Ovis aries: one gene and its partners. The protein of the gene in region 1 interacts with the protein of each later gene in a pairwise test. Links are inferred from orthologs where the notes say so. Each region holds a gene or a part of one and is shown in the gene's direction. Other genes may lie near its edges. The genes, in order: ZBTB9, PIN4, DTNB, EIF4E2, EHHADH and LASP1.

Region 1 (3,979 bases):
ATATGTGAAATTTTATCCCTGTGCCCTTCCTTGCTTTCCCAACCTCAGACCCTACCCCTGGACCTCCTTTCCTCTCTTCTTTGGCTGTTGTAATTATCTGGGATTTGTACTGTACATATCCGGGGTGTGTGTGTGTGGGCTGGGGGCAACCCCTCTGTACAGCGCTTCCTGGCCCCCTCCCCACCACGATTCCCTCTCCCCCAATAAGGGTAGGGAGATGTTCTTCCTACCTGTTTTATTTTGTTTTCTCGTTCTCCCTCCCCACCCCACCCCACCCCCAGCCTACTCTCTCCCCCACCACTGCCCCTTCCACTCCCAGCCCCATTTCCTTTTTTTCTGGAGTGTGTGGTGAAACAGAAAAATCATGTTTAATAAACGGAGATTGTTCTTTTACCGCGGTGCTGACTTTCCTAGTCTCGGACCTCCCGGAGGATCAGCATGGTGACAGGAACTGCTTTTTGAGGAAGCTGACAGCTTGGGAGAAATTCTGTATCCTTGTGTGACGCCATAGTCTTGGCCCTAGAATATCGCTCTCCCAACTAGCAAGATTGTTTTGAGTAGGGGTTTTTGCACAGGCCAAATTTCCCCCATGTGTCTCACCATTGCGCCACTTAACCCCAAGAGAAAAGAGGTTAAGGAACAGCAGCAGTATCTGATAAAAAATAAGTGTACATCTACATGTCCCTTAAAAGTAATTACCTAGAAGAGAAGATTATTTCATTGTTGGTTAAAGTGCTCCCGTACGGAACGGAGGAAAGAACTTGGTGCCTCAGCCTTGTGGAGTCGGCCCCTGAGCCAGCACTTGCCGTCTCGGCTTCCCCTGAGGAAAGGATGGGAACTCCTACCTCGCTGGTGGCGGGTCGGGGGAGGGGGCGTGGGATAGAAGGTGATATGAACAATACCTAATACGCTAGGTGTCCTCTTAATCTCAGCACCCATCGGGGGCAGGCGTTACATTTAATCACTGGCACGGCTCACTGGTGGCACCCTCGGTACCGCCTGCGCATTCTCATCCCCTCTGCGGCCCCAGCCGGGTGTACTGCCTCCCGCCAGGACCGCCTTCTCGCCGGCATGACCAATCGACGTGAGGCTTGTAGGCCGGCGCCCTCCGATTGGCTGCCTCCCTGGCCCCGCCCAACTCCCCGGGGGTCCGCTTCCGGCGGGGAGGAGGCGGCTTCCGGCCGAGGCGGCGCGGTTGCTGCAGAGCCGCTCTGGACGCAGGACCGCGTGTGTACCCGTGGGGGCGTGGCGACAGGAAGGGCCAAGTGGCTGGCGCTCGCGGTCCCCGGGTACCTGCCAGGGAGTTGGACTCTGCGGGCACGTGAGTTGGGGAGCGGAACGGTGGGAAGAAGCCGACCGGGCCGGCGGGATCCGGCTCGCGGCTGAAGGACCTCCTCCTCGCCACAGGCCCTTCAAGTTCAATCCCCGGTTGGTGTTTTGTTGTGGTTTGTTTTCGTTTTCTTGGCGGGGGAGTGTGTGGGACTGTTCTGCCCGAACCACCGGCTACCGAAAAGTTCCACACGTTGGGGTGCAGCGGAGGCGGACGTTGCTTGGGGAGATACGATTGTCTTTATCCACAGCTTCTGTGACCCCTTCTTTCCTCCACAGCCCTCGTCGCGCAGGGGCTCTCCCCCGCCCTCTCACCTCCTGTACCCGACCCTCTGGGATCTCTTTCTTCCCCAGGAGGCCATGGATACCTCGACGCCTTTGCCTCCTGTAGCCCCCTCCCCAGCCTGCAACCCAGCCCCACGGACGATCCAGATCGAGTTCCCTCAGCACAGTTCTTTGCTGCTGGAGGCCCTGAACCGCCACAGGCTGGAGGGAAAGTTCTGTGACGTCTCTCTCCTGGTGCAGGGCCGCGAACTGAGGGCCCACAAAGCAGTGTTGGCCGCCGCTTCTCCTTACTTCCACGACAAACTACTTCTGGGGGATGCACCGCGTCTCACCCTACCCAGCGTTATCGAAGCCGATGCCTTCGAGGGGCTGCTCCAGCTCATTTATTCGGGGCACCTCCGTCTGCCCCTGGATGCTCTCCCTGCACACCTTCTTGTGGCCAGTGGCCTGCAGATGTGGCAAGTGGTAGATCAGTGCTCAGAGATCCTTAGAGAACTGGAAAACGCAGGTGGTGGGATTTCGTCCCGAGGAGTAGCCCCTTTCCACACACTTCTTTCCACCACAGGAGGCTGGTCCATCCGCTCTTCTCCTTTCCAGACCCCGGCACAGTCTTCTGCTTCTAACCAGAGCTCGATTGGAGGGGAGGGGAGTGAACTGGGAGATATATTACAGCTTCAGGTTGAAGAGGAAGATGAGGAAGAAGATGAGGAGGACCAAGGGTCAGCAGCACCCTGTCAGACTCCTCAGCCTCAGAGAGGATCAGGGAGTTTTCCTCCCCCTCCTGTATCCTACCCCCTGCCCACATCCACTATTCCTTGCAGAGTTCCAGAGGGCGAGAGTGCCCCACCTGAGCCTCCTGCTCCTCATACTGCATTGCCCCCCAAAATCTTCTACATCAAGCAGGAACCCTTTGAGTCCAAGGAGGAGATAGCTGGAGGCGGAAGTCAGTCTGTAGGAGCAAAGGAGGAGACCAAAGTGTTTCCAGCAGGGAACACTGAAGAGAATGGACAACTAGGGTTCCTGCTGCCCTCAGGAGCAGGGACAACATCTGGAGGAGGTGATCCATCCTGGAAACCAGTGGATCTTCATGGGAATGAAATCCTATCAGGGGGTGGGGGACCTGGGGGAGTAGGGCAGGCTGTGCATGGGCCTGTGAAGCTAGGTGGCGCTCCCCCTGCAGATGGAAAACGCTTTGGTTGTTTGTGTGGGAAACGCTTTGCAGTGAAGCCAAAGCGTGACCGGCACATCATGCTGACATTCAGCCTTCGACCCTTTGGCTGTGGCATCTGCAACAAGCGTTTCAAGCTGAAGCACCACCTGACAGAGCATATGAAGACGCATGCTGGAGCCCTACATGCCTGTCCTCACTGTGGTCGCCGGTTCAGAGTCCATGCCTGTTTCCTTCGCCATAGGGACCTCTGCAAGGGTCAGGGCTGGGCCACTGCTCACTGGACTTACAAGTGATTGCTAAGGCCATATGCTAACTTTCAGGACAAGGGAGCCACTACTGCTGATGGATACTTATTACCGCTCACTACCACAGTACCCTAATCCTGTATCTTGATGTTGGTGTTGGTGGTTTTTTCTTGGCCATACCTCGTAGCATGCCACCAGGGATTGAACCTGCACCCCTGCAGTAGACAGTGCAGAGTCCTAACCACTGGACTAGCAGCAACGTCATATCTTGTTAGTTATTCCACAAGGATAGATATATTATGGATCTCTTCTTGGATGTGGGCCTCAACCTGACAGATTTGAAAACTTGATTTCTCATCTCCAGGTTTTTGCTAACTATCCTCCGGGAGACTGGTTTACAGGCCCTAGATATACTGATCAGTTGCCTGTAATCGATCCTTTCATACAGGAAACTGGATTAAATTTCAGATTAGAAGTTTTATTTGATGAGAGAGGAGTTAGAGCAAGAAAAATTATGATAAATGTTTAATTCAGTCTCTATGAGAAGTTAAGGGAGCTGGTCTCCATCTAGAGATGTGTTTGATTCAGAGTTCTAGTAATCCAGAGACTAAGCTCTAAGCTTTACTTTTCCCTCATCATTGCTGAAATTTTATGAGTAAAGGTCTTATATACTTTTCTTTTGTTATGATTTTCTGGAAACCCTTCAGTCTATAAATTACTTTCTCACCAGTAGGTACTTTTTCAACACCTTTATTTTGTATGTTGTAGTTGAGCGCTTTAACAAATTGAGAATTCCATGAGTCACTTAGAACCCTCTTTAATAGAGGTATTCCCTCCACAGTCTGTGCCTCTTGTCTACCTTTGACCACCACTTATCACTCATATTGATCACAGGGACTGAAGTGTGATCAGTGAACTCAGGAGATGGCCATTGACCTAAAAATAAAAT
Region 2 (4,236 bases), on another chromosome or scaffold:
ACTACCAATCCAAACCAAGGAGTGCCTAAACTGTGCCTGTTCAGAAATGACAGCAGTAAAACAGGGGGCTGCCTGTAACGCATGAGTTCGGGGTGGCAGTCTCAGAAATACCTGATCGCTGGCAAGTAGCATCTGAAGTCCCACAAGACTCAATTCAAAAACTAAGCTCTGAGCTGGAGGACCATTCTGGCTGGCATGGGCAAGCTGAGAGAGCTATCGCATGAAGTGGAGGAAAAGCCCTGATCTTACAAAAGTCGGGAGAAGAGGGGTTGTGGATAAGGGTAAAAAGTTTGAGGATGTAAATTCAAAACTCATTCACCTTAAGCTAACACTCCACAAGCAAGTCATTGTTTTATGTGCTTTACAAACTTGTTTAATTCTCTTTACATCCTATAAAGTCAAGTCAAGTCAAGTTGCTCAGTTGTGTCCGACACGACCTCATGGACCGTAGCCTACCAGGCTCCTCCCAGTACTGGAGTGGGTTGCCATTTCCTTCTCCAGGGGATCTTCCCAACCCAGGGATCGAACCCAGGTCTCCCGCATTCCAGGCAGACGGTTTAACCTCTCAGCCACCAGGGAAGCTTACATTTCCTTCTCCAGGAAGGAACCTGGACCCAGGGATTGAACCTGTGTCTCCTACATTGCAGGCAGATTCTTAACCATTTTGAGCCACCAGGGAAGCTGCACAGGTACTAACTACAGCAAATATTTAACAGTAGTAGTGTTAGTCGCTGGAGAAGGACATGGCAACCCACTCGTGTTCTTGCCTGGAGAATCCCAGGGACAGAGGAGCCTGGTAGGAGGCCGTCTATGGGGTCGCACAGAGTCGGACACGACTGAAGCGACTTAGCAGCAGCAGCAGCAGTGTTAGTCGCTCAGTTGTGTCCGCCTCTGCCCATCATTTTCTCCTTTGAACTACTTGAGGCACTGCTTTGGGCAAATTCAGCCACTTATACAGCCTCGCTACAAGCTGTAAAATAACTAAAAGCGAAAACCTAAAACGAAGGGCAGGCCGGTGTGTATGAGTGCGCGAAAGGGGTAGGCGGCCGCCGAGGTTCTTCCGGCTATGCCTTTGTCTAATTGCCCCGCGTGATTGGCTGGAACCCCGCGCCGAGGGACTGCAGAGGCGCCCCCCAACCCCCACCCCTCCGGCTTCCGTTACGCACGCGTGGAGGAAGCGGGTAGGGCAGTCGGGGAAAGGGCGCAAAGAAGGGCGTGTGAAAGAAGCCGCAAAAAGCACAGAGGCGTAACTCCCCCCGCCCCGCCCAACCTTTGCCTCCGCCCCTCTGCCCCGGTCCGAGCTTCAGCCCCATTGGCCCAAGAGTCAAAGGACCGGGCCTGCCCCAAGATATGCCTGCTTCCGGAGCCACGGTAAGGATGGCCAATTGCGATGCCGCTTTCTGGCATATGTTTAGGACACACCGGTGGGGCCTGAAGGGGGTTTGTGCGGCAACCTAAGCAGTTGAGAGTTCAACGGCAGATTTTGGAAATGCCCCCGAAAGGAAAAAGCGGTTCTGGAAAAGGGGGAAAAGGTAGAAACCAAGAAGAAATGGGGTTGGGTGAGGAGCAAGGCGGAGGGAGCAGACCGCCGGGGTCCGGGGCGGAGGCAGCGGGTTGCCAGTGACTAGAGGACTGACCAGGAAGTGATGTTAGAAACAATCAATACAGACTTCAGTTTTTATTTAAAAGCATGGGGATTAGATGGTGGATAGAAGAGGAGAAAGGATTACAAGAAAGTTTGATTTTGTTAGTTTCTTCCGAATGGGCAAAACTTGGGAGTGAGGCTGTCATGAAGGATCCATTAGTTAGGTAAAGCTACAGGGTAGTGAAATTTGGGAAAAAAGAGGTAGAGCAGTTAGTTGACTTTGAGAAGAAGGGACATCTTAAGCTTGACGTCACAGAGATGAAGATGGATGTGGTGATAAAAAGTGGAAGGCAAGAGTAGTTTTTAAAACAGCAGGGCAAGTACTGAGTAGGGGTCTTGAGGACAGTGTTAAGCGTTTGGAATAGTCATTGGGGTGGTAAGAGGGGATGAAACACTTAAAAAAGGATTGCCCTTAGGGCTGAGAGCTTAAGATTGAAGGCTATGAATTTCTGTAGGACACAATCTGCTCAGTCATGATTTACCTAGTACCATATAACTGGCACAATACAGGATTGAGACGAGCTAAGTATAACCTGTAGCCAAGGTTGAGGTTTTGTTGGACAATGATAATAGAAGAAAAGCAACACAAGGGAATTACGAATGCCACTAGGGACACGGTTCAGATGATCAAGCATGGGATCCAGACTGGGAAGGGAAGAAGTTTGATAGCATAGGAGAACATAGGAGGATAAAGGAACTGAATGGGGGGAAGGAGGAGGTGTTTCTGTGACATTAAAGAACCTGTGTTGTGGGAGTGAGGCATGAGAAGGCTGGAAGAACAGAAAGTTGTAGCCAGAGATTGAATTAGTTGTGAGTGGCACAGTTTGATCACATGCCCCTGGGAACAGGTGGCCTGGAGTAAAAGGCATGGGTATTTGGGAGGGAGGTCTAGAAATGTGAGGTTAGGCTGTTGGATGGTTCCTCTGAATAGATAGTGAAGTCACCCAAGATTAGGGCAGTAGTGAGGATGGAAAGGAAGCCTGAAGTTGCTGCCAGAGTTCTCAGTCAGAGGGAGTGAAGGGGCATTCAGAAGATGATAGCATCCATTGGGGCAGGGGGTGGGATGACCAGAAGGCATCTTTGTTCTAGAGAAAATAAGTTTAGTGTAATAAAACTCCTTTGGCAGTAACATTTTCTTAGGCATTTGGTGGTTGGCATTTTGGATATTCAGTTTTGTGGAACATTTATTGAACAACTTTTGGGTGCTCGGCATTGGGGTTCCTAAGACAGGATGGAGTCTCCTGAATAAAATTTTAATGCGTCCCTATTACTTCTAGGATAAATTCCAAGTTCCTTAATGGGGCTCAAAGGCCCTCATGCCCTAACCCTCAGCCACCTCCCCTGGGTTCCTCTCACAGCACTCCCACTTCAGATTTGGCTTCGTCCCTAGTTTCCCCCCACATACTACACTGTTCCCCTACCCTGGAATTCTCCTCACCATTGTCCTGTCTTTGCCTGTTCAGCTCCTACTCATCCAGGAAACCTTCTTTAACTGGCTAAAATGTACCTCTGTGCTTCCACAGCCCCCTATTTATACAGCATAGCTCATCCTCCTGAAATGATCTTTTACATGATTTTACATAACGATATTCCCGAGTAGTATATGAGCCCCCTGAAGGAATGTATTATGCCATTTGGGCTTGTTCATCTTTGTATCTCCAGTGTCTGGAACTTAGTTACTTAGGAAATGTTTATGAACTGAACACTTAAACCAACAATAGTTCTTAGGAACATCAGCCTCTAACAGTAAATATGCTGCCATCAAAACAGAAACTGGCATAGTAGCAAAATGACACAGTAATAAAATGTAAAATACTGCCCATTGTGTTAATCTGAATATTGATAACTTCTTAGGAAGGTTATCAGTAGGCAATGTCATTGACTCCAGGAGTTTGGACATGAATGTATTCTTTACCCAAATATGGGTGGTAGGAAATTTGATCTTTATTTAAAATATATTCTTGGACATTTTACCTCCTATAATTGTGAGTATCCAAGTACATAGCTGCCGTGCTTATTAGAAATCTCACAAGAGCTCCAGGGTTTGCTCTTAGAAGGCAGGATTTCAAACTGGGTCTAGAGAAATCAGGCCAGGTTTTTGGTGCTCCCATTCAACTATTAGCACACTCACTTGTGTATCCATTTTCCATGAAGGGTTTTTGTAAGGCACAAATTTCTTGTTTTAAGAGGTATGTTACAGGTTAATTTCGCTTGATGTAAAGTGTCTGCAGAGTTCCCTTTTGAAGCTTGGTGCTGTGATGGAAGTATCAACTCCTATTGTGTTGAATAATAAGGTGAAAGTGTAGTTTAAATGAGTACTTGTCATCTCTTCTCTAAAGGAAAAGCAGCCTCTGGGAGTGAGAGTTCTGAGAAGAAGGCTCAGGGTCCCAAAGGTGGTGGCAATGCAGTAAAGGTGAGTTACTCTGCTCTTTTCTTTTTTTTTTTTTTTTCATTTTAAATATAAATAACATATACATCTGTTATTTTGGTACACATAAAAGGAAAAGACAGCATGCTTAACTCATCCTAAGGCTAGCCTAATACTGACAGAAGATCAAGATAACACAAAAGTGATGCTCCCTTCGGCAGCA
Region 3 (3,500 bases), on another chromosome or scaffold:
ACACAATATTAAATATCAATTTGAATGGTCTGTTACGTTGTACTTTTAAGCTTGCCTTGTATTTTTCAAGTTTCTCAGATTAAAATACACAGACACGAATCAGAGCAAGAATGATGGAAAACAGACCACTTCTGCTCGGTCCAGCGCTCACATTGGGTGAAGCTGAGCTGAGGCCCCCTGTCAGCCTGTTCGGGGCAGCTGATTCTTTCTGTATGTGGGGTTTCTGAGCCAGCTCCCCAAAGATAATTATCTTCCTTTGAACTTATTGGCACACTTTGGCTTATATTTTCCCAGTCTTGCTTCCAAAGAGAACCCTAGTCTTTATGCCACCCTCAGTTGCCCTTCCTCTAAAGAGCCGCAGAGCCCAAATCTCAGCGGACTCCCTTTAACTGGAGTTTTAAAGCTTTTATCCCATGGCTCCCAGCTTTCTCCAAAACTGCACCAGAGCCTTCCCACGGAAGGCTCAGTGTCCAAGTAAACGTGTGTCCATTCTCACCCAGTCCCCACAGAATGGCTCAAAGAAGACTGCACTATGTGCTTGACGAGGGCAGCATGACAGGCCAGATGACTCGGCTTCTGAGAACTGCCTGCGGCTGGGCTCCTGACCCGCAAACTCATCAGGCACGTTCCCTGCAGCCCAGCAGCTGCAGAGGTGCAAAGCGCATGTCATTGCCCTGGGAGCAGAAGGGCTTGTTCCAGCATCTCCCGCTGACAAGCTGTGCAGCCCTGACACAGAGCTCTTACTCTCTTCATCCTTGTCTTTCTTCTCTAAAATGGATACTACTCGAGTCCTTATGAGGCTCAAATGAGATGATGCACATGAATGTGTTTGCAAACAGAAATGAAAGATGTTTGAGTGTTATTTCCCAGCTGTGACCCCAGCCCCTCCCAAATCCTCCACCAGCTACCCCGCTCCATCTGTCCACCTGGAAGGCCCTTCTACCCTCCCTCCCTGAGTACGCCTCCACTTTCCCTCCGCTTTTAGTTTATTCTGCAGTGTTCTCACTGCCTTGTCTCCTCCTCCCCCTTGTTCTCTCCCCTTCTCCCTTTTTGTTTCCCCGCTCCTTTGCTTCCTCTCTCCAGTCCTGGAGGCAGCCTGACTCTTTTCTTTCAAATCTGATCATGCAGTGCATTGCACCACGGAACTGAAGCCCTAGGTTGGCTCAGGTTGACTGAGAAAAAGCACTTGCCCCTTCCTCAAAGAGTTAAGGCACAGGAGATGACAGGCTTTCTCTCTTTGATTCTCCCAGGCTCAGGCCACAGGATCACCGCATACATCGCCCACTCACGGAGGCGGACGCCCCATACCCATGCCCGTGCGCTCCACCTCCGCCGGCTCCACCCCCACCCACTGCCCGCAGGACCCGCTGAGTGGAGTCAGCGGGGACATGCAGGAGGCCTTCGCCCAAGGTGAGTTCGGGAGCAGAGGAAAATGAAGCGCTAAAGGGGTTTGGAAACATGGACAAGACTTCTGCTGTGGTTCTCCCCGTTTTCTTTTGTGTGCTTAGCTTTCAATGATCAGATTTTCATGTACAGTAAAAACAAGTGTCGTGCTGGCCCCTTCTCATTCGATGGGCTGGTCTGCAGCGGGAGGTCTGCAGGCTTGTATGTGTGCGAGGGCCAGGCCTTCTGGGTTTCTGTGCTCTTTTTGAGGAGGGTTGTGGGAAGTGCCTTGTTCATTGGGCTTTGCCTCCTCCAGAGGAGTTGGATGGAATCATTCCCAAAGTTGAGTGCTTGGCCTGCAAAGTGTTTAGAGCAAGGAGGAGAAGGAGTCTAGAACTCTGAATCTGACCTTGCTGAAGGCACCTTGTCTGTGGAGTTAATGGCCTGCCGTGTTCTGTAGTGGGTGGAAGACGAGGCTGCTCAGGAAGTCTTGTCTTGTCTCGGGGCAGAGACGAGAGCAGGGAGGTGGAGCTGAGAGTAAGTCCTGGCCGAGGGTTTGTTCTGCAGTCCACCTCTTTGATTGTGGCTGAGAAGCGTGGAGGTGACAGGGTCCTGCCTTCGCAAAGGGAAGAGGGAGGAGAACCACGGCTTTGGGCACCAATGCCTGGGAGCAGGCGGAGCTGCTCGGCCCATCTTCCCTTAGGAGTCCACACTAAGTCCCGGGGCCGGCCGACTGAGGCATCTGCTCAGCTCTGTCTCCCCCACCCCCATCACCATCACCCACCTACCCACCAGGCATCGCCATCTGCTCTGCCTCTCCTCAGGTACGAGGAGAAACCTCCGCAATGACCTGCTGGTGGCTGCCGACTCCATCACCAACACCATGTCGTCCCTGGTGAAGGAGCTCCACTCAGGTGACGCCCAGAGCTCCCACCCGGCCTCCCACCTCCATCCTTGCCCCTGCCTTCCTTGCCACCCACCCGCTGTGTGGTAAAGCGCCTCCCTCATTTCACCGGGCGGCCTCCTTGCTTTCCAGGAACTCTCTGGATGCCTTCCCCTGTGAGCCTGTCTCCCACACGTGGTCACACACTTAAAGTTTCTCTTAAGAGCACGCCTTGTGGACCAGACACAGTTCTGACTTTAAAGGAACTTGGTTCCATCGGGCCCCTTCCTCACTTACTGTGTCTTCCACCTGGACTTCCTCCACAGCTGCTCTCTCCCTAGGCCTGCTCGGCTGTCTCGCTCGGAGCTTTCCTGGACGACGGGGAACCGAATCAGCCACAAAAGCTTGTGGACTTCCTCCCGCTGCCTTTCTGCTTCTCCTGTTTGATTTGGTTTTGAAACCCTATTCTTTCCTTTTGTCCGTGACGAGGCTCTGGTTTCCCTGGAGGTTCATGACCTGAGTCTGGTGCTTCCTCCACTCCACATGTTCAGTCTTATCTATGACTTCTTTCTCAGTCTGTCTCACAGCTATTTCCCATGATTTTCCCAAGACCCTTACCTCATGGCATATTTCCCCCTCCATGAAACCCAAGAAGGGGAGAAAAAAAAATAGGCCATTCCCATATCATCGTGTCTGCAAGAGTTCCCATGATTGAATCAGTTTTGAAGCCGCCAGATATTTCACTAATTTTTTTTAATGATGGTCAGATTCCCATATTTTATATTAAACAAACAGGTTTCCTTCCTAAGTGCTGTGGGTCACTCATACAGGTGGCCCTCTTTTATTTCCTTTCACCTAATATTGTGCTTTTAAATACCTTGAAGTAGCTTAACAAGGTTGTTGAGTAAAGATATAAAGCAGTTTTTCCATGGGCTATTCAGACACACGTACTTACTCAAACATAATACATTGAAATCATCCATACATACACTTAGGGAAGGCAAGCCTTGAGTAGTCCTTCAGACCTTTATAGGTGAAACCATACACTTTTAGAGTTGTCATGAGACAGGCTGAGGTCTGGCCAATGGCTTTGCTCTCAGATCTGCTGTTTTTGTTTAGAAAGGGATAAGGTTGGTGTTTCCAGTACAGTTGATAAGATGTCAGTTCTCCTGTTGAGGGAACAGGATGGTAACACTGTCCCCATTCTGGTACCATTTCTCAATCCCTTTTAGAA
Region 4 (3,500 bases), on another chromosome or scaffold:
TTTATCTGTTTATTCATCAGATATGCATATATAATGATAATCACATCATCTGACTATGTTGAGTTGATATTTCAGCCACAAGCAAAGATCTTGTATTAGTTGGCCTGTGCTGTCTTATTACTGTTAAATTTAGACTTTTTTGAATTATTAAAAGTAACTGTGCACTGGTACATATTTGGTTCAAGAAAAGTTTGTTGAATGAATTTGGGGCATAATAGGGTTCTAAAATGACTAAAAAACCTTGCCCTTAGGGAAATAAGACATGCCCAGGAATTTCTAATATAGGGAGGCAGTTTAGGAGGTGCATAAATAGCTAGAGTGCTCTTGCAGTTCAGAGTAAAGGGATTCATTTCAGCCTGGAGAAGCCTCTTTTGAAGGGAGATGGGTTTAAGATTGAATTCAGAAAATTTGAACAAGTGATAAGATGAAGGAATTCTTGGAAGAGAGAACAGTAGAATTAAAAAAACTATCCATGTCATCCTAACATTCCTGAATCCATTAAAATTTTGATAGCTTGCTAGACATTTCAGGTAAAATGACAGCCATTATGTTATGAACAACTGATTAAGCACTTAGGATCAGAGAAGAAACTGAACTCTGGGGAGTCAGTTTTCATTCAGGATTTTGTTCAGTTATTTTAGCATAGTTGTAACTATTTCTAGCGTTTTTCTTTCCCGCTTAAAGAAAGCATGTGTGAATGTTCCCAGCTTGTACAAGGAGAGCTTTTGTTTTCTTTGGACATATGTGCTAAGTTGAACAGTTTTATCATCAACATCATCTTGGGTTAATGCTGCTTTATACTCACCAATGCATGTAAGTCAAGGCATTGGGAAGTGTCCCACAATATTCCTCACAGAAAAGTAATTACATTTTGAAACTAATGATGCTAAAGTAGTATTTCCCACTAGTCCTCGATCCTAGTATTTGACAGCAAATGGCAACCCACTCCAGTACTCTTGCCTGGAGAAGCCCATGGAGGGAGGAGCCGGTAGGCTACTAGTCCATGGGGTCGCAAAGAGTCGGACATGACTGAGCGACTTCACTTTCACTTCAGAAGTTCTTGAGGTGACTAAGAAAACTATATCTTGAAATGAAAAAAGCGTTGGACATTCTGCTGCTTGACTGTGAGCTGGGGCAAGTTCTGAAACCGTTTTCTCAATTATAAAGCAAAGAAAGTAGTTGAGATGATTTCTAAAGTCTTTTCTGCATTCCATGTTCTGAATCTAAACATTTATTTTTTGGTTCCAGTTGAAAGTTTTAAAAATGAAAGTTGCCTTAAGAGAATGAAAAAAAAAGGTTTAATACTATTTCTCAACCTGCCTATTATTTCATCTCTGTTGTGATTTGGGTTTAGAATTCTGGCTATAAGATTGTAGAGAATGGCTCTCAGATTGGTGGAGACCAAACTGTTAATAAAGCAGTGCCCCACTGGAGGATTGGGGGTGATTGGTATGCTCTGTCCCCACCACTTCTGTCAAGTCCTTATTCACAATGAGCCACAGTTTCTAGAAGGTGAGCTTCATTTCTTTGCACTGTGTTGAATTGAAGTGAAGTGAAGTCGCTCAGTCATGTCCAACTGTTTGCAACCCCATGAGCTGTAGATTACCAGGCTCCTCTGTCCATGGGATTTTCCAGGGGATCTTCCCAACCCAGGGATTGAACCTGGGTCCCCCGCATTGTAGACAGACGCTTCACCGTCTGAGCCACCAGAGAGGTCCTCCTTTGCACTGTGTTAGAGTGGGGAAAAGATTATTGCTCGTTGTATGCATAGGACCATTCACTGACCCAGATCCCTGGGTACCATTAAGCATGGCACTGGCTGAGGTGAAATGCTGAGGTGAAGTCCTGCAGATGGCTTCGTTCCTAATTTCCTTGTAACGTGAGATGTTGCCCATGTTTCTGTGCTCTAGAGGATTGAGAGGCACCGCCACTTCACACAGTCTGGGGTTTCTCCTCAGTTGCTATCCAGATCTGGGGGTGTGACCTGAATCTGTCTGCATGGTACCTGTTTTTACCTGCACATTATGGAATCTTGCTTCATGTTTATTTAGAGCCTCTTCAGCAGTTTCTTGGCAAATACCAGCTGTTTGCTTCAGACTGTTTCACATTTTTTCTTTACTTGTAAAGTGTGCACTTGACTTTCCGGTACTTTGTAGGTGTTCTCTGTGAATTGCAGAGGAATAGGAAAGTAATCAAGGGCTTCCCAATCGGGAAGCGCCACTAGGCGCTAGTGGTAAAGAACCCGCCTGCCAATGCAGGAGATGTCAGAGATGTGAATTTGATGCCTGGGGTGGGAAGATTGCCTAGAGGAAGGCATGGCAATCACGCTAGTATTCTTGTCCTGGACAATCCCATGGACAGAAGAACCTGGTGGGCTATAGTCTATAACATCCCAGAGAATTGACCAGAGAATTAACTTCAGTGAGTTAGCATGAATGCATGCTTAAAATACAGGGAAGTAATTTCTTCTTATCAAATCACTAGTGAGAAAAACAAATAGTGCGATAAATATAAATAAGCATACATTTTATAGAGAATATGTATGATTTTCTAACAGGACTGTGAAGGAGGAGCAAAGAGAAATTTTATAGCTAAGAAGAGAGACTTAAACCCTGAGTGAGGAAGCCTGCTTGGTTTTTGGACCATCTGGGCCTTAGCAAGGGCACCATGGTATGGAGTAGCCCTGCGGTTGATTCTGTCACTTAATGCTCAGTAACTGTTTCTATAGAAATAAAATGTACTTCAGTGTAGCTAATGCTGTATTTTGACAGTAAACCTCTGATCAAGAAGTGCCCAAACTTGCAGTTATAAATAAGTCATGGGCATGTACTGTAGAGCACAATGACTAGTTAATTCACAATGTTAATAATACGGTTTTTTTTTTTTTTTAAGTGATTTGGTTCAAGCTGAGGTTGTGTGGCCCTGAATATACCTCAAACCTAAGTGGTTTTTATCGTGTAAAACAAAGTCCTCCTATAGCATGTGGTGATTCTCCTGCGGCTTCCACAGGAGGATGCGTATTGACATTTTACCAACTAAGGCTCCTGGCTGAGGCTGGCATTTCTCACCTAAAGAGTTTATTCTTGTGTTGACAGTATGACACTATTCTTTTATCAAAATAGATAGTCTTCTTCCCTTCAGCATGTTGTTCTTCCCCCACAATCCCCAGAATGAACATCTGTCCTCCAAAAAGTAAAGCCTCTAGCAGAGTGTCTTCCGTGGTTATGCACTTCTCTTAAATCTCCCATTCGCTCAAAGAAAAAGAAAGTGCCTCTCTTGACTCTGCTGTGCTCTCTCTGCAGGTGGAGCAGTTCTGGAGGTTTTACAGCCACATGGTGCGTCCCGGGGACCTGACAGGCCATAGCGACTTCCATCTCTTCAAAGAAGGAATTAAACCCATGTGGGAGGTGAGAACTGAGAGCCTTAGACTGTTTTTCTGAGGAAGTTTTCTGTTTTTTGGGGTTTTTTGTTTGGTTTGGGGGTTAGTGCCAGGTGTTGGC
Region 5 (3,500 bases), on another chromosome or scaffold:
GGTTCTAGATGTTGTATGGTAGAAACCAACACAACGTTGTAAAGCAATTTTCCTCCAATTAAAAAGATTTTTAAAAACAAACACATTAATTAATCATTTAATGGAAAACTATCTTAAATAGTATTTATTATTATATACGCACGAGCCTTTGATATAAGTTAACAGTTCCAAATTTTCTTTCTTTTTTCTTTTAGATCTATCTCCAGAATCCCGTAGAATCTGCAACATGCCCGTCCCGAGCTTGCCCAACATGGACGCCATTTTCAGTGAAGCGTTTCTGCAGGTGCGGAAGCGGTACCCTGGGTGGCTGTCTCCGGAGGCCTGTGTCCGAGCAGTCCAGGCTGCTGTCCAATATCCATATGACATGGGCAGCAAGAAGGAAAAGGAGCTGGGCCTGTACCTTAATACCTCAGGGCAGGCCAAGGCCCTGCAATATGCTTTCTTTGCTGAGAGGATGGCAAATAAGTGGTCCACTCCCTCCGGGGCTTCCTGGAAAACATCGTCGGGACGACCCATCTCCTCTGTTGGCGTTCTCGGTAAGAACATGAGCAATGTCACTCCCCAAATCTGCATTTGTCAAGTACTACCATTTGCTTTGGGCCACTACATGCCAGGCTCTTTGCTGAACATATCACTTTTTTAGTTAACTTAATTTTCACCCCAGCCCAAGAACTATCTTTGCATGTGAGGCTTAGAAACACTAGGCCTTCTCAACAGTGAACTAATTAAACCCAAGTCCTCTAATGCTACATCTGTGTGATTCCAGACTCTCGGCATTTTTAAACTCATTTCTGCCTCTTACATGTCCCTCATCCCTGGGTTTCCCAGCAAGATTATGATGTGTACCACATTTCAAGGTGTGGCCTGTCACTCCTATAGCTAGGGATTGGGAATGAAGGTTGTGTCTTTCTGGTCCTTGCATCCATTCACTTCTCCTGATTCAAAGCCACTATCCCCAAATTCATCTTTACCTGAAACATGGGCTTCCTTACATTTTCCCCTTGAAAATTTCTCAAACAAAATGCCTTCTTTCCTCAGAAGCTAGCTCTCCGAATGGCTTATTTGGGCCACTATCCTAAACTTCACTTAGTCTTAGTCTTGGCCCAAGAATGGCCTTGGGTGGATTCCAAATCCCCTGAAAGAGTAAGTGGAGTATGGTATGTATTAGCCTGTATACAGTCTTCTGGGAGAGGAGGTCCAAAGTTTACTAAAAGCACCAACTTTCTTAATCTTCACCAAGCTCTCTAGCACCAGTGCAGTGTGAATGAAAGAGCCTTCTCTACATTTTCTTAGTCTGAAGCTGTCTCAATGAAATTTGGAAATAAACTAGTACGTCTTCAACACAAACATGCTGTGCTCCTTGTAGCACTGACTCTGTTCACTTGTGATTTTTTAAGGAGCTGGATAAATAGTATGGCAAAGAACTGATTGTACCTTTTTATATTCCTTCAGCAGCACTGATATTTGTTTCTAGTTATGTATGTACCTGTTTCTTCTTTCCTGTATTCCTTCAAGCCAAGAAAAATTAATGCAGAATAATAGTAAAAACTCTTTATCAGTATCGTGTTTGTCAACCATCATTTGAGAATTTCCGTTTCCTTATCGTGAGCTTTTTAAAAAGACTTCAGGTTTGTGTCTGGCATGGAATGTTTATAAGTTCAAAGTTTTTTTTTAAGTATATACCACATTGTTCTGAAAAATATTTGCAAAAGCTTTTAAAGTATGTAGAAGACAATGTGGATGAAAATAAAGTGAGAGCTGGTCATTTCCCTCTTCGTCATGTTTTTCTGCTTCCTGCTCTGCCCGCCTTGGTCTTGGTGACGCAGCCTCCCTCTGTGCCCCATGTCCTCTGGAATGCACCCACAGCCTCATCTGGTTCACAGTGGCTGTCCCTCTGTCTCCTGCCTGAAACCTGACTTACCCTGGGCACTTGCTTCTCCTGAAGCCCACTCAAGAAGGCTGTTGCTTCTTCCCACACTCCCTGGACTGCACTGCCACTTCCCACTTCCCCTCTCAGACCGTGACCCCTTTCTGGACACTCTTCCTCTGTTTTGCTGCCGTCTCCCTGCCTGCTCTATCCCTCCTCATCACTGTCCGCGCTCCCCTGCCTTGGCCCTCATTTCAGTGCCTGGCTCACGGTTATCCGCTTTGGCCCCAATCCTGCTGTCCTTTCCTTGTTGTCCTCGTCCCCTGTGTGGAGAATCCATCCAGCCCTGTTGCTTCTGGGTTCCTTCGCCTCCTCAGATCCAGTGACATTCGCCTCACTTCACTTCCGTGACCCACACTTCGGGCTTCACCCTGAACATTTCTCCACCACTGAAATGTGAACTTTTTCACTACAACCTTGTGTTTCTCCACATCCCTTTCTCAGTTATTCCAACTGCATCTGTTATGTGATAAGCTCTTTTAATCTTTACTTCCTTCTCTATTCAGTTTTCATTTCCAATCATCACTTCAGCTACTCCCTTGCCTACATCCTCAGAAGCCGTGACTCGTTGTCCTTTCATTGGGCCCCCAGGAAAACCCCAGCCCTGATGAGCCCAGGTTTGCGCCTCAGTGAGCCTGTGCTCTCAGAGTGGGTCGGCACCCCTGCAAGTCCACTTTCTTTCACCTCGCCTGAGCTCTCAGGTCTGTCGGAAGGGGAGACGACTGCTGTGGACTAGACACTGAAGAGCCAGCAGTCAAAGCATCCCTCATCCTTTATTTGCTTTGAGTAGAAGGGATTCTTGACGATGTTTAATTCCAGGGTAGTTAAAGGCAGTGACTTGGTCCAGGAACAGGACTCCTGGTCCCTGTCTGTGTGTGTTTAGTGAGGAAAATTTAGGAAACTAAATTCAATATGCATACAGTATTGACCTATGAAAACATAATTACCAACAGTGAAAAGCTTGGTCTTTCAGCCCTACTTTCTTGAGAACTTTGAGACCACAAGGTTGTGAGAAGTTAGTGAAGAACTCTTTGAAGGAAACAGTTACAGGTTTCGTGTATATTTTTAGTGATTAAATGAAAAAATATCAGTTTATAGAAATGAAGGTCTAAAATAATAGCTGATACTTCTCCCCCCCCCCCCCCCCCCCCGCCCCTGCAACAAGACATTGTTTATTAATCAGAAGAGCAGCAAGGATAATTCTGCGTTAGGTTAAAAGCTGCATTTCAAGGGCCCAAGTTCAGGCTTCCCTGGTGGTTCAGTGGTAAAGAATCCACTTGCCAATGCAGGGAATGTAGGTTCGCTTCCTGGTCTGGGACAATCCCATGAGAGAAGCTAAGCCCCTGCACCACAACTACGGAGCCTGTGCTCTAGATTCTAGGAACTGCAACTATTGAGCAATGCTCTAAAGCCTGTGCTCCACAGCAAGAGAAGCCACCACAGTGAGAAGCCCGTGCACCACAGCTAGAGAACAGCTCTCACTCACTGCAACTAGAGAAAAGCCCACACAAAGCAATGAAAACCCAGCATAGCCACAAATAAGTAAACAAAAATATATTGAAAAAAAGGTCCA
Region 6 (3,968 bases), on another chromosome or scaffold:
TGGGTTTTCTTCTCCAGACCCACCCCTACCCAAAATGAAACACCAAGTTGGGGGAATCTTGCCTCCTGAACCAGCGCCTGGAACCGCCTTACACGACTGCGGCTGCCGCAGAAATCCCGGTACCTCCCGCATGGGTCGTGGGGACCTGAAGTTTTTGTACATGATTTGTTCCTGTACCCACCCCCTCCTGCTGCTGAGTACGAAGTCAAACCGAAAGCCTTCCGTTAAGGTTGGAGAATGAGGAAGGAATTTTAAAATAGCTTTTCTCTATTTCTCTAACCTAGGACCCGAGGTTAAAATATGAATCAAAAAGGAAATAATTATACTAGACAAAAATTAGGAAAAAACCGCCGAGGGGGCACCCGGATTTGAACCAGGGACCTCTTGATCTGCAGTCAAATGCTCTACCACTGAGCTATACCCCCACGCCGCGCCTTGGCTTGGATGCGGCTCTTTTGGGTGTTAAGACACTGCTAAAGGTGAACAGTAAGGGTAGGTAAGGAGAAAGAAACGCAAGAGAAAAAGGGATCGAGCGCAAAGCAGAAGCTCGCTGGATTCGGGGAACTACTGGAAAGCTGCACGGCAGAGGCGCGGGGACGCAAGAATTAACCCGGTCTGCGAGGGACTGAGTCCTGCAGGGAGGGACGGGTTCCGCCTTACAAATTGTGGGAGAGGATGTTGCAGGGCATGGCTAACATCTTAGGGGCGGGGCAGGGAGGGTTCCCGTAGATCCGCGGATTTCTCGCCAGGTACCGACGGGTACAAAGGAAATCCCCAAACCTGACGAATCTGGTTGGGTGTTCGAGTGGGTTCGAACCCCACCCTGGGCGGTTGCGAGGGGCTCGCCGGCCCTGCAGCCCAGGTGCCCAGATGTGCCACCGGATCGCCCCCGCCCCGCCTCCAGCGGCGGAAGAGCCCTGGGCAAGGTCGCCTGTTAGCGCCTGGCCTCCGGGCGCATTCCAGGGCCCTTTCTGCTTGCGAGCTCACCTAGGCGCGTACCGCTGGGCGCGCGGTCCTCCCTGGAACCCGCCCCCACGCAGTCCCACGTAGCCTGGAGAGCGCGCCTCGCCGCGCGCGCCCCTGCCCGCGCCCGCGGCGCGTCCCCGCCCCGGTACAGCCCCTCCTCCCCGCTGTGTTTATTAGGGGAAGGAGGGCGGGGGCGGAGGCCAGTTCCCTAGCTCAAGCAGCCGTCGCTGTCGCCTGTGCAGTTGAGGCCGCGGCCGTCTCCCGCCAGCTCGCTCCGGGGAAAGAGAACGCGCGCGAGCTCGGGCGTCCTCGCCCCAGCCTTTCCCGGAGCCATGAATCCTAACTGCGCTCGGTGCAGCAAGATCGTGTACCCCACGGAGAAGGTGAACTGTCTGGATAAGGTGAGACTCGGGACTGGGAGACGCGTCTTTGCAATCCCCGAGCTCCAGATCGGAGGAGGAGAGCGGGGCTGGGTCTCTGCCGCCCCGTTACCGCGATCCCGGGAGGAGGAAAGGTGGGTGGTGTCATGGGGCGTGAGGGACGGACCCCAGTCTGGAAACCAGGAGATCTGGGGCGAGGAAAGGAGTCCACGCGTGGCGGGCAGCCACTACTGGAGAGGAGTGGGCTCGGTGCCCGGGGGTGGAGAAGCCGGGCCCCGGAGTGGGGGTGGGGGGAGTGAGGGAAGGTTAGGGGTGCAGTCCCGCCCCCTAGGGCCGGGAGAGTGAGAGCAGACGGCCGCTCCCTCTCCCCGCCTCGCCGAGCGCCAAGTAGGCGGAAGCGCTGGGCGCTGGGGGAGGGGGCGGCGGGGGGGCGGGGCAGAGGTTGGGGCCCCTGCTAAGCGGTCCGCTCCGGCGGCTACTGGCCCGGCTTCCTGGCTTGGAGACTGGAGGGTGGGGGCCGTCAGCGGGCAAGTGTTGCGTCTGGTGAACTGGCCTTCGGATAAGGACCCGAGCCCCATTGAGAGAGCCCGTTTTTCGGACGACCTGCAGCCCTCTTGGTGGTTCAGCGGTTAATGGGCTAGCCTGAGTCCTCCATAGCTTCCCAGCCCCCACCTCAAATTAGAAGCCAACTCCCAGCGTTGGTCCGCCCAGCCGGACCCGGGTGGGGTCGCTTGCTGGAGTAGGGTGGTGGGGGGTTGCTTCACTGAGATCTCCCGAAATTGTGTTCAGAGGCTGAGTCCACCCTGTAGAACAAAGAGCTAACTTTTCAGAGCAGGTTTCCCCAATGGAGGGTGGGGTTGGCTAAGTTCAGGGGGAGCCAAGAAAAGGGGGGAGATGTTGGGGGAAAGGGAAGGTGGCCTTCTGGAAATTCACTGTCCCCTGGGGGCCCTTAGGCGTCTTCCTCCCCCCCCACCCCCATCATGCTGGACTCGTTCATCTGGTTGCCATTATACTTTTTGAAGGGGGGCGGAGAGTGGAACTGGGTATTTCCTGCAGTTTGGGGTAGGATCCGGACCTCTTTTAATCTAAGATCCTAAGGCAATCCATCTTCCCTCTCATTCCCTCCTCGGTCTGGAGGAGAGGCCTCTAGGATTTTGTCCCCTTCTTCATCATGCCTTTCATTCACCTCCTAAAGCTGCCCCCCTGTCCACACATTCCCTCTTTCCCATCTGGACTGGCCAGGGGTTGGGGGCCCATGGGATGGAAGAGGGTGCAGGGCCCACCTGGAGTCAGATATTTTTTGTGAGGGGGGAAAGGGTCGTTCCTTGGATTCTTTTGTCTTTCCCCTCCTTAGGGTTGGAGCTTCCTCAGTAACCTTTGGCCTCTGAGTCAGGGTGAGGGGGTGGGGTTCCATGGTTCTGAGATCATTTTGATACTGCTCTTGGAGGAACGGGTCATGCGGGGCCGCTGCTGTTTCAGTCTTCTCTCCTGGGCCTGGCTGGGCAGGAGGAGAGAAAGGCCATGTTATGGTGCAGTGAATGTGGGTGCTGACCTTCCCAAAGACCATGCGGGAGGGCAGGACTTGAGCCTGGGGGCAGGAGCTGAGAGCTCTCTGGCCTTGCACACTGGTGTTTCTGCTCTTCCCTGGTGGGAGGGATTTTGGCCTCTGCGTCTTGAGTTCCTTGTGCTCCCCTTCTGCACAGTCATGAACTGGGTAGAGGCAATGGCCACTTTCCACCCACATAAGGCGGAAGCAGTGTCTGCTGGAAGGACACTAGCCTGGGCGTTGGAACACTTGCTCCTAGTTCCAGGTCCGCTCACCACCAGCTCTGTGAATGGCTCCAGGCCTCAGTGTTCAGAGTCTATCAGATGGGTGTGATGATGTCATTTCCTTGAAGGTGGGGAAGTGCACCCGAGTGCCTGTCACAGTGCCTGGAAGGGGATGTGGTATAGGCTGTGCGCCCTCTTCTTTTCTGGGGTACTCTGTCCAGCCCCATACCTGGCTTTCCCTGTAAAGACCTTTGGTGTCTGAGGGGAGGGTGCAGCCCCTTTAAGGCGCCCTCCCCATCTGTTTTCTTCCCCTCTCTGGAAGAGGACATTCAGGTGGTGGGCACCCTGGGAAGTGAGAGTTGGCGGTTCCTCTCTCTTCCTACAGGAGGTTTCCCTGGGGAGATGTCACCCCTGCACTGAGCAGGAGGCCTGGAATATCCAGGTATTAGACTGGTTCCTCCCACCGCCCTCCAGGCAGTAAGGGCAGGCACTTAGAATGGGGACCTGACGCCTGAGGACAGATGTTCAGTCCCATAGACACAATTGCTAACCAGCTTCCCAAGACAACCCATTTACAACAGGAGAGAGTCAAATTAGACTCACCTGTTTCACTGCAATTTCCCTAGGACCCGACATGACCCAGAGCACAAGCTACATTCTTGGTGTTAGCCTTTCCTCCTCCTTGAGCCTTATCTCCCAAAGGCTTAGGTGAGTAAAAGCCACATCACCTCTGATGGCTACCCTACCGTCCACCTGCATTACCCAGCGTGTCCTCATGCTGAATAAATGTGTATGGCTGGCCACGGTGTTTGAGGTCGAGATTTGTTTCCCCAACTTATGGGATTAGAGTTG

The links.
Region 2: the proteins of ZBTB9 (region 1) and PIN4 interact in binary tests that used the Homo sapiens proteins (3 or more experiments, as listed by UniProt). The two-hybrid records come from large-scale screens. The link is inferred for Ovis aries from reciprocal best matches to the Homo sapiens genes ZBTB9 and PIN4.
Region 3: the proteins of ZBTB9 (region 1) and DTNB interact in binary tests that used the Homo sapiens proteins (3 or more experiments, as listed by UniProt). The two-hybrid records come from large-scale screens. The link is inferred for Ovis aries from reciprocal best matches to the Homo sapiens genes ZBTB9 and DTNB.
Region 4: the proteins of ZBTB9 (region 1) and EIF4E2 interact in binary tests that used the Homo sapiens proteins (3 or more experiments, as listed by UniProt). The two-hybrid records come from large-scale screens. The link is inferred for Ovis aries from reciprocal best matches to the Homo sapiens genes ZBTB9 and EIF4E2.
Region 5: the proteins of ZBTB9 (region 1) and EHHADH interact in binary tests that used the Homo sapiens proteins (3 or more experiments, as listed by UniProt). The two-hybrid records come from large-scale screens. The link is inferred for Ovis aries from reciprocal best matches to the Homo sapiens genes ZBTB9 and EHHADH.
Region 6: the proteins of ZBTB9 (region 1) and LASP1 interact in binary tests that used the Homo sapiens proteins (3 or more experiments, as listed by UniProt). The two-hybrid records come from large-scale screens. The link is inferred for Ovis aries from reciprocal best matches to the Homo sapiens genes ZBTB9 and LASP1.

Annotation. Positions count from the first base shown.
Region 1 is NC_056073.1:7,781,831-7,785,809, forward strand, and holds the start of ZBTB9 (zinc finger and BTB domain-containing protein 9), read left to right. Parts: upstream 1-1,179; 5' UTR 1,180-1,321; exon of another isoform or gene 1,322-1,428; intron 1,429-1,608; exon of another isoform or gene 1,609-1,683; 5' UTR 1,684-1,689; coding exon 1,690-3,078; 3' UTR 3,079-3,979. UniProt on the Homo sapiens protein: May be involved in transcriptional regulation.
Region 2 is NC_056080.1:64,766,881-64,771,116, forward strand, and holds the start of PIN4 (peptidyl-prolyl cis-trans isomerase NIMA-interacting 4), read left to right. Parts: upstream 1-1,436; 5' UTR 1,437-1,489; coding exon 1,490-1,532; intron 1,533-3,984; coding exon 3,985-4,058; intron 4,059-4,236.
Region 3 is NC_056056.1:32,798,221-32,801,720, reverse strand, and holds part of DTNB (dystrobrevin beta), read left to right. Parts: intron 1-1,250; coding exon 1,251-1,410; intron 1,411-2,207; coding exon 2,208-2,297; coding exon of another isoform or gene 2,298-2,377; exon of another isoform or gene 2,378-3,500.
Region 4 is NC_056055.1:234,170,836-234,174,335, forward strand, and holds part of EIF4E2 (eukaryotic translation initiation factor 4E type 2), read left to right. Parts: intron 1-3,302; coding exon 3,303-3,407; intron 3,408-3,500. UniProt on the Homo sapiens protein: Recognizes and binds the 7-methylguanosine-containing mRNA cap during an early step in the initiation. Acts as a repressor of translation initiation.
Region 5 is NC_056054.1:202,710,306-202,713,805, forward strand, and holds part of EHHADH (peroxisomal bifunctional enzyme), read left to right. Parts: intron 1-194; coding exon 195-536; intron 537-3,500. UniProt on the Homo sapiens protein: Peroxisomal trifunctional enzyme possessing 2-enoyl-CoA hydratase, 3-hydroxyacyl-CoA dehydrogenase, and delta 3, delta 2-enoyl-CoA isomerase activities. Catalyzes two of the four reactions of the long chain fatty acids peroxisomal beta-oxidation pathway.
Region 6 is NC_056064.1:39,207,227-39,211,194, forward strand, and holds the start of LASP1 (LIM and SH3 domain protein 1), read left to right. Parts: upstream 1-1,168; 5' UTR 1,169-1,298; coding exon 1,299-1,367; intron 1,368-3,968. UniProt on the Homo sapiens protein: Plays an important role in the regulation of dynamic actin-based, cytoskeletal activities.